Linked DNA regions of Arabidopsis thaliana. The protein of the gene in region 1 interacts with the protein of each later gene in a biochemical or structural test. Each region holds a gene or a part of one and is shown on either strand. Other genes may lie near its edges.

Region 1 (3,600 bases):
GTTGATTGGTCTCATTTGCCTGATCAAGGCTGAATCCAGTCATCTCCGCTAGTTCAGCGAGTTCTATTTCTCCGCTTAAGACCTAATTTATAAAAGAGGTGAAATAGGTACTGACATGTGATGAAATGTACAAGGGGTTCAGAGGATTTACTCACCTTATCATTTATTATCCATGTTGGGAATCCTTCGATCGCAGCATCTGCACATGCCTTGAGTATCTTAGTTCCTTTCTTATATCCATCCGGAAAACATTCCACGTAGTTCAGTTCTTTTGCCGCTTCTCTTCCAAACATCTGTAGATGGATGGAACTATAATGAACATATAATAAAAGCATAAAACTGATTCTTGGCAAACAGGTGATGAATGAACTAACTACCTCTTTTTGCTCTAAGCAGTGAGAACACCAGAATGCCCCATACATTTTAGCTCCAATGGAGTTTAGATGTTTTGCTAAAGCAATAGCATAAGGGCTCGATGATGAACTGATCTCTGTTCTAAAATATGGCAGTTCAATGTCACCAGAGCTGGAAGGAGTGAAACAAAAAACGATCGGGATTAAAAGAGACCACCTGATAAGACTCATACATCTTTCGGAAGCTATTTGTTCACTACTCGTTACAAATGACTAAAATTTCTATCGGGACTCCCCAAAGAAAACTATGAACTTTGATTACCGTGAAGGGATTGGTTGAGCAGTACTGTAAGAAGCAGTCAAGGAGGCAACTACTATGATTGCTAAGCATATCTGCAATCCTACAACTTGCTGTATTTCTTGCAACTTCACATCCTACCACATGCATGGAGCACATTATCATAATCCGAAGTTTAGAAGTTATCTTGAGTCAACATCAGGAAAAAAAAAGAAATGGAAATAAAGGGATACCTTTACAGAGAGGAAAAATAGACTAAATGATAAGAAAGCAGACACCAGACAATACAGGCATGATGATCCTGAGAGTTTTGTGCTAAGGATATACAGGAAATATGCACTAGCAGATGCCATTGCAGTCGTGATCCCAAATAACGCGAAACGCCCATTGCTCTTACTGATTCCAAAAGGTAGATTCCCTTCCCCAAGCTCTGCACTTAGAGCGGTTACTACGCCATACATAACAAATCCAATCACTGGAAGAGGAACACCTGGCAAAATGTAAAAAAGGATTTTCATTGAGTTCAACTTACCTGCAATGCAATGTTGGACAAACAACGAAGACAAAGCACTACATAGAGTGGAGTGAAGCATGCTATTTAACTCTAACAATTCTATGCATACTAAGTACCAAAGCTCCTAAATGATATAGCTTCAAGCAAAGATTCACAGAGACTATCACATGCGAGTATTTAATCATGCCTACTATAAAAGAGAGGACAATTAGCTACATAAATCAAACGCTATAATCAATAAAGCGATGGATAATACCGAAAACGACGGCATAATCGCTGTTGAGGACATCACCGCAAGTGCCACCACCAATAGGGCAAAACGCATCGGAGCCAGTGACCTTGAGGTAAGTCAAATACGCAGTGTCTAACATCCCAATACCGCCGATTCCGGTGTACCAGTTGTATGTCGAACTGTTACTAGTAGATACTTCACTTGTAGACGATGAGGAGGAGGAAGACAGCGACGGTGCCGAATCCTCACCGTTTTCCGGCTCAGATGAAGAACATTTAATCGGAATCGCAGGAAATCTCCGATCAGAGACCTAATTCAGAACATCTGACTTCAAATGACCGATCACACACTACTGTCACTGAAGAAAACACATGACAAGAATTTACCTCGAATCGTCTAGGATAAGAAGTTACCGACGGAGGAGAAACCTCACGGAAGCCGAAATGAAACTGACAAGACGACACAGAAACAAACCTCGCCATCATCGTCGTCGAAGAATCGCTATTCCACCATTGTTAACTTCATCATCTTCTCTCCTCCGCTCCACTATCTCAGCCACTTGTTTCAATATTGGGCCTAAACGAGGCCCAAATACGATAATTTGGATCCATAATTAGTTTATCACAATTGGGCCTTACGGTCTTCTTATCCGTCCGAGTCAGCAAGTTATCCTCTTCAACACGACTCACGAGGCACCGAGTTGGACTTATCATGATTCATTATCTACGCATTGTTTACATTTTGGAATCGACTTTGGTACATAATTGAATTTATCCATAGAAATGATAGAGACTCGAAGATCGGACATAAAACTTGCTGACGTGACACCCATACCTTTGTGTCTGTATGTATTATATAAACGCTATAGAACTAAGAGAAGAAGTATCTAAGTAGCATCAAAGCATTCTAAAAGAAGTTTCAAAGAAGAAGTGAAAATGGAAACCACTGCTTTTAACACAACATCACGAATTGGAAACTGGTCATCGGCTATTTCTCCACCTCTACAAACATGTGGATCTTTCAAGTGCCAATTACCAACACGAAGAGGTGTTATTGTAGCTGATCTTCGAAACTCAAACTTCCGATGGTAAGCTAGCAATCAACGACGAGAATCGCCTTCTCTATCTGATTTTAGATTATGAATAAATATTAAATCTGAGTATTAACTTCTTGCTCAAGGAGGAAAGCAACGACAACAAGCAGAGGAAATGTTGCAGCAGAGGCAGTTAAAATTCCTACGTCAGTACCAGTAAGAGTGGCGCGTGAGCTAGCTCAAGCAGGATACCGCTATCTCGACGTGAGGACACCAGACGAATTCAGCATCGGACATCCGACTAGAGCCATCAACGTACCTTACATGTACAGAGTCGGATCAGGTTTTCATCACCGACCTTAAGGTTCCTCTTATGAGAAAGAGTGAAAATGAAAAACAACTTAAAACTAACACCAAGCCAAAACCGTTGCAGGAATGGTTAAGAACCCGAGTTTTCTAAGACAGGTCTCGTCCCACTTCAGGAAACACGATGAAATCATAATCGTAAGTTTCAGTTTTGACATTCAGAGACTAAATAAACCCCTATGAAGACAATCCCTTGTTTCACAAAATCTCTGATGCACGTAATAAACTACTTCTGCAGGGTTGTGAGAGCGGTCAAATGTCATTTATGGCCTCAACTGATCTTCTCACTGCTGTATGTGTGTAATATCACTTCAATTTATATAGCCGTTATCCGGTTTAGGACAAGCGGGTTTAATGTCGCCACATGTACAGGGCTTCACGGCGATCACAGACATTGCTGGAGGATACGTCGCTTGGACAGAGAATGAGCTGCCGGTAGAAGAGTGAAAACAATCATAGCCATATCACCTCCTGTAATTATCAATAAATTCTGTAGATGTTCTCAACGCAAGTATCAATCATCATTATTATTCTCTAAAACATAGTTTAACTGTCAAATCTATATTGGGTGAAAGCTTTACCGAACTTCGAACACCACAAAGTTTACGGACCAATTAAGGACGGGGATGCATGCCTACACACGTTTAGTTTTCGCCGTTTTAAAATTTTAATACTTAAACTAATTTTTAAATGATAATAGTGAAATTAACATTATTTTAGTTAAAAATTATTAATTACTTTCTTAAAATTTAAGTTTTAAATTGGTTTTAAATTATTATTCTTTAAGTTTAAGTGTTAAATTTA
Region 2 (3,780 bases), 570 kb from region 1:
CTAGATGTTCACTCCATACCAGTAGCAACAAGATGGAGATCTTCAAGCGCAATTTTGCCATTTTTGGAAACTAGAATGGGGAATTTAGAGAAACTTGGGATCCAGTGGGGAGCCATGGGATCAGATGTGGTTAGGGCCTGGGGATTTGGGAGAGAAGAATTGCAGGAAATGAGGGAGAATCTGTCAAAAATGGTATCTGAGCTGAATCCTCAGTTTTTCGAATCTTCGGATTCAGATTAGTTATGTCTTAAAACGAATATGTTGTATCATCTTTAAAGATTTTTTCTGGTTTGGTTTGAAACTTTATGGTCAAACCCGTTGTTGATTGACTTATCTTCTTTGTGTAAGTCGCTTGAGAGAGTTGATATTGGAGGCATAGGAGAGAAGCATTGTCAAACAAGAACAAACCGATATCAACATTTATAGTTCCAATGGGATTCTTTTGATCAATTTGAAACATTGCTACTTTCCGACTTTCCTTTCCTGTCTACTTTTTTTGTGCACTATAGAGTTAGAAACAACTTCTATCATCTGCCAGAAGCATGATAGTGATGCCACTCTCTTTATCCATGGCTTAAGGGATCAGTAACCTGATGCACCTTACGAGACTCTGAGCTTGAGTACTGTCCCACGGCTCGGGCATAAGGAATTGATTGTTTCCCGGCTGCAAGCGCATTCACATTTTCAACTAAATACTGTCTTGGGAGCCTCCCGACCACATTACCTTCTTCGTTCCCTTCTCTATCGAGGAAGGCGAAATGAGGAATACCCTCAACACCAAACTCATCCAACTCTTGCTCCCATTTCGTGTTGTCCACATTTAGCATCACAAAGTTAACTTTGTCCCTGCGAAATCACAACACCACAAGTAAACATCAACTTTAGCCTACAAAACGTCAAATTAGTGTCTAAAAAGCTCCATGTTCCATTAAACTAACATGAGATTAATGGTTTGCCTCTGCAACTAAAATCTCAAAGCTCTACCTTTTTCATTAGCGTCTATCTACATAGCCAACAATCCAATCCTAAAGATAGTTCCCTAATCCATTAAACCAACACAAAATAAGAACTCTTCTGCAACTAGAATCTTTAAAGCTCTAGCTAGTTCATTAGCTAAATCCATTCCAAGACAAGATTCCTTAATCCATGTTTTTCGAAGCTCTAGCAATGCTCATCTTAATCTCCAGACAAGTTCCCTAATCCGTTCTGCAACTAGAAAGCTCTAGCTTGTCTTTCATCTATATATAAAGGCTTCATTTTGAAAGGAGATTGATTTTGATCAAAAATCACATAAAAGACGATTCATTACTTGTATTGCTGCTCGATTTTATAAACATCAGGAGCTAGTTCTCGACAAACTTCACACCAATCTGCATAGAACTCAACAACAGTCGGCTTCCCATTCGATAACGCCTAAATATCCATTCACAAAACTCATTAAGCATTCTATGAGAATAGAAACACAGATGAAGAATCCAAAAACAAACCTCCTCGTAAGGCAACGCAGAAGCGGTTAAATCCTTCAAAGAAATCCCAAAATCGAGCCTTGTCGATACAAATAACGACAAAGCCGCGATTACAGTAACAGCCGCAACTCTTCTATTGATATCCTTATTGGGAGATTCAGGGAATCCCGAAGAAGAAGAAGAAGAAGAGTCAGCAACAGATGATGATGATTCCACTTCCTTCGATGCAGATGAAGTTTCACCATTATCTATTACCAATTTCTCCTGAATCAGGTAAAGGCTAAAACTTTAGCTAATTTGCCTTCGACCCATTTCAAAAAGAATCGAAATTTTCACCTGTTTGGTTTCGGAAGATTCTGGGTTTGGTTTGCAACGAACAGCGCGAAATCGTGGAGCTCCTGTTTGGGTAACGAAGAAAGATTGAAGATTTCGAGGACTGAGATTGAATCCATGACTAGATGGAAGGTTTAAAGAAAATACTAAGCGAGCCATCGTCGGGAGAGAGTGAGAGAGATGACAAAACTGCTACTCATCAGATCGTTATTATCGAAGGAGTAGTAGCTTCTTCGTCTAACCAAGCTATTAGAGCCACACGCTTTTTGTTACAAAGATTTAAACTTTGTTACAAAATAATATGAAATGAGTCACTCTTTATATTCCACATACACTTAAAGTGTTTTTTTTTACCTTGATAAACTTTAATATTTATAAAGCTAAGTGGTAATTTTTTCTAAGGACAGAATATCAAGTTTAGTTTGTACATCTTTGAAATTTAACATTTAAGTTTTGAATAAAAAGAATATATATAATTAAAATTTGCGTTTAATCAACGGATTACTTGACGAAAAAAAAAAATCAACGGATTACTTACAATATTATTCTTAAAAAAGCCTTAAAACTAAATTTAAATATGTGAAAATATGTTGAACTTATAATACGCAGGAGTTACAGACTAAAAGAACAGGATGCTAAACGCTTTCAAGTATTTAAATTTCAACATTTAAGTTTGAAAACATTTTGTTAATAAACTTTTAGCTTTAAAATATCAAAACAGATTATTTTTGAAAAAATCTTAAAATTAAATTTAAATATGAGAAAACATGTTGAACTTATGATAACGCACGAGTTACATACCTAAAAGACGGGATGTTAAATCTAACCGTTCCAGTATTTAAATTTAACATTTAAGTTTAAAAACATTTTTGTAATAAAAATATTTTATATAATAGAAAAACTTTTAGCTAACAATTTTCCCTTTTCGGTAAGACAACTTCGGTAAGACAAAATTACCCTTTTCCGTTACAACGGTCATATATTTTTTTACAGCGTAACAATTTTCCTATGGCCTATGTGCGTCATGAGTCAAATAGCTTGAACAAAAGCGGAGCAGTTTAGCTAGACTAACCGTTAGTGGGATAACATACGCATTTTTTATTCGTATATTTTAGTGTTTACCGTGAATATTTTAATTAAAACATAAAAATATTTTTTCCCCTAATTCTTTAATTTTGGTTTTCATTTTCAAGTCCGCCAAAAAAAGCGAAGAGAGGGTTTTAATACGATTCCACTCTTCTCAACAAATTTGACGTTTTTGTTCTTCGAAATTCAAATTCACCCAGAAAAAATCTCAATCCGCGATGGTTGAAGAATCAGCTTCTGCGTCGGAAGCTTCGGTGATACAAACCCTAACCGAGCCGGCGACGGAGATTGCGCAAACCCTAGAACCTAACCTAGCCTCAATCGAAGCCACCGTCGAATCGGTTGTTCAGGGAGGCACTGAATCGACTTGTAACAACGACGCTAATAACAACAACGCCGCTGACAGTGCTGCTACTGAGGTTTGTGATGAGGAGCGTGAGAAGACGCTTGAGTTCGCTGAGGAATTGACGGAGAAAGGCTCTGTGTTTTTGAAAGAGAACGATTTCGCTGAAGCCGTCGATTGCTTCAGCCGTGCTCTCGAAATCAGGTATCTTTTTGGGAGATTCATTTGAGAATTTGTAGTCGAGAACCTCTCAATCAAGGGTTTAGGGTTTCAGATGTTTCTGAATCTAGTTTATGCTCGAATGATCTAATCATGGTTCTGAATTTTTAGTTGAGTTTCAATTGTGTGTTCTCTCGACTGAATTCTTTAGTATCTGGTCCTTTTATCAAAGGATCTAATGAAAACATTGCTTGTTTTAATGGTATGGTTAGGGTTGCACATTATGGTGAACTTGATGCTGAGTGTATAAACGCATACTATCGATATGGATTAGCTCTCCTGGCAAAGGCTCAAGCTGAAGCTGATCCACTTGGGAACATGCCTAAGAAAGAA

The links. Proteins that work in one complex are often made in the same cells at the same time.
Region 2: the proteins of LTO1 (region 1) and HCF164 form a complex in vitro, tested with the Arabidopsis thaliana proteins (one study listed by BioGRID).

Annotation. Positions count from the first base shown.
Region 1 is NC_003075.7:16,942,741-16,946,340, forward strand, and holds the start of LTO1 (NAD(P)H dehydrogenase (quinone)s), read right to left. Parts: upstream 1,938-3,600; 5' UTR 1,883-1,937; coding exon 1,784-1,882; intron 1,708-1,783; coding exon 1,422-1,707; intron 1,142-1,421; coding exon 885-1,141; intron 789-884; coding exon 676-788; intron 526-675; coding exon 378-525; intron 294-377; coding exon 54-293; coding exon of another isoform or gene 1-53. Other genes in the region: SEN1 (Rhodanese/Cell cycle control phosphatase superfamily protein), read left to right, coding at 2,333-2,484, 2,577-2,773, 2,864-2,934, 3,035-3,088, 3,169-3,243. UniProt on the Arabidopsis thaliana protein: Thiol-disulfide oxidoreductase catalyzing disulfide bond formation of chloroplast proteins and involved in redox regulation and photosynthetic electron transport.
Region 2 is NC_003075.7:17,509,273-17,513,052, forward strand, and holds HCF164 (Thioredoxin superfamily protein), read right to left. Parts: upstream 2,093-3,780; 5' UTR 1,959-2,092; coding exon 1,803-1,958; intron 1,731-1,802; coding exon 1,488-1,730; intron 1,414-1,487; coding exon 1,310-1,413; intron 847-1,309; coding exon 564-846; 3' UTR 349-563; downstream 1-348. Other genes in the region: AT4G37190 (plasma membrane, autoregulation-binding site, misato segment II, myosin-like, tubulin/FtsZ protein), read left to right, coding at 1-240; AT4G37210 (Tetratricopeptide repeat (TPR)-like superfamily protein), read left to right, coding at 3,104-3,432, 3,660-3,780. UniProt on the Arabidopsis thaliana protein: Thiol-disulfide oxidoreductase that participates in various redox reactions in the chloroplast. Mediates the reduction of PSI-N in the thylakoid lumen.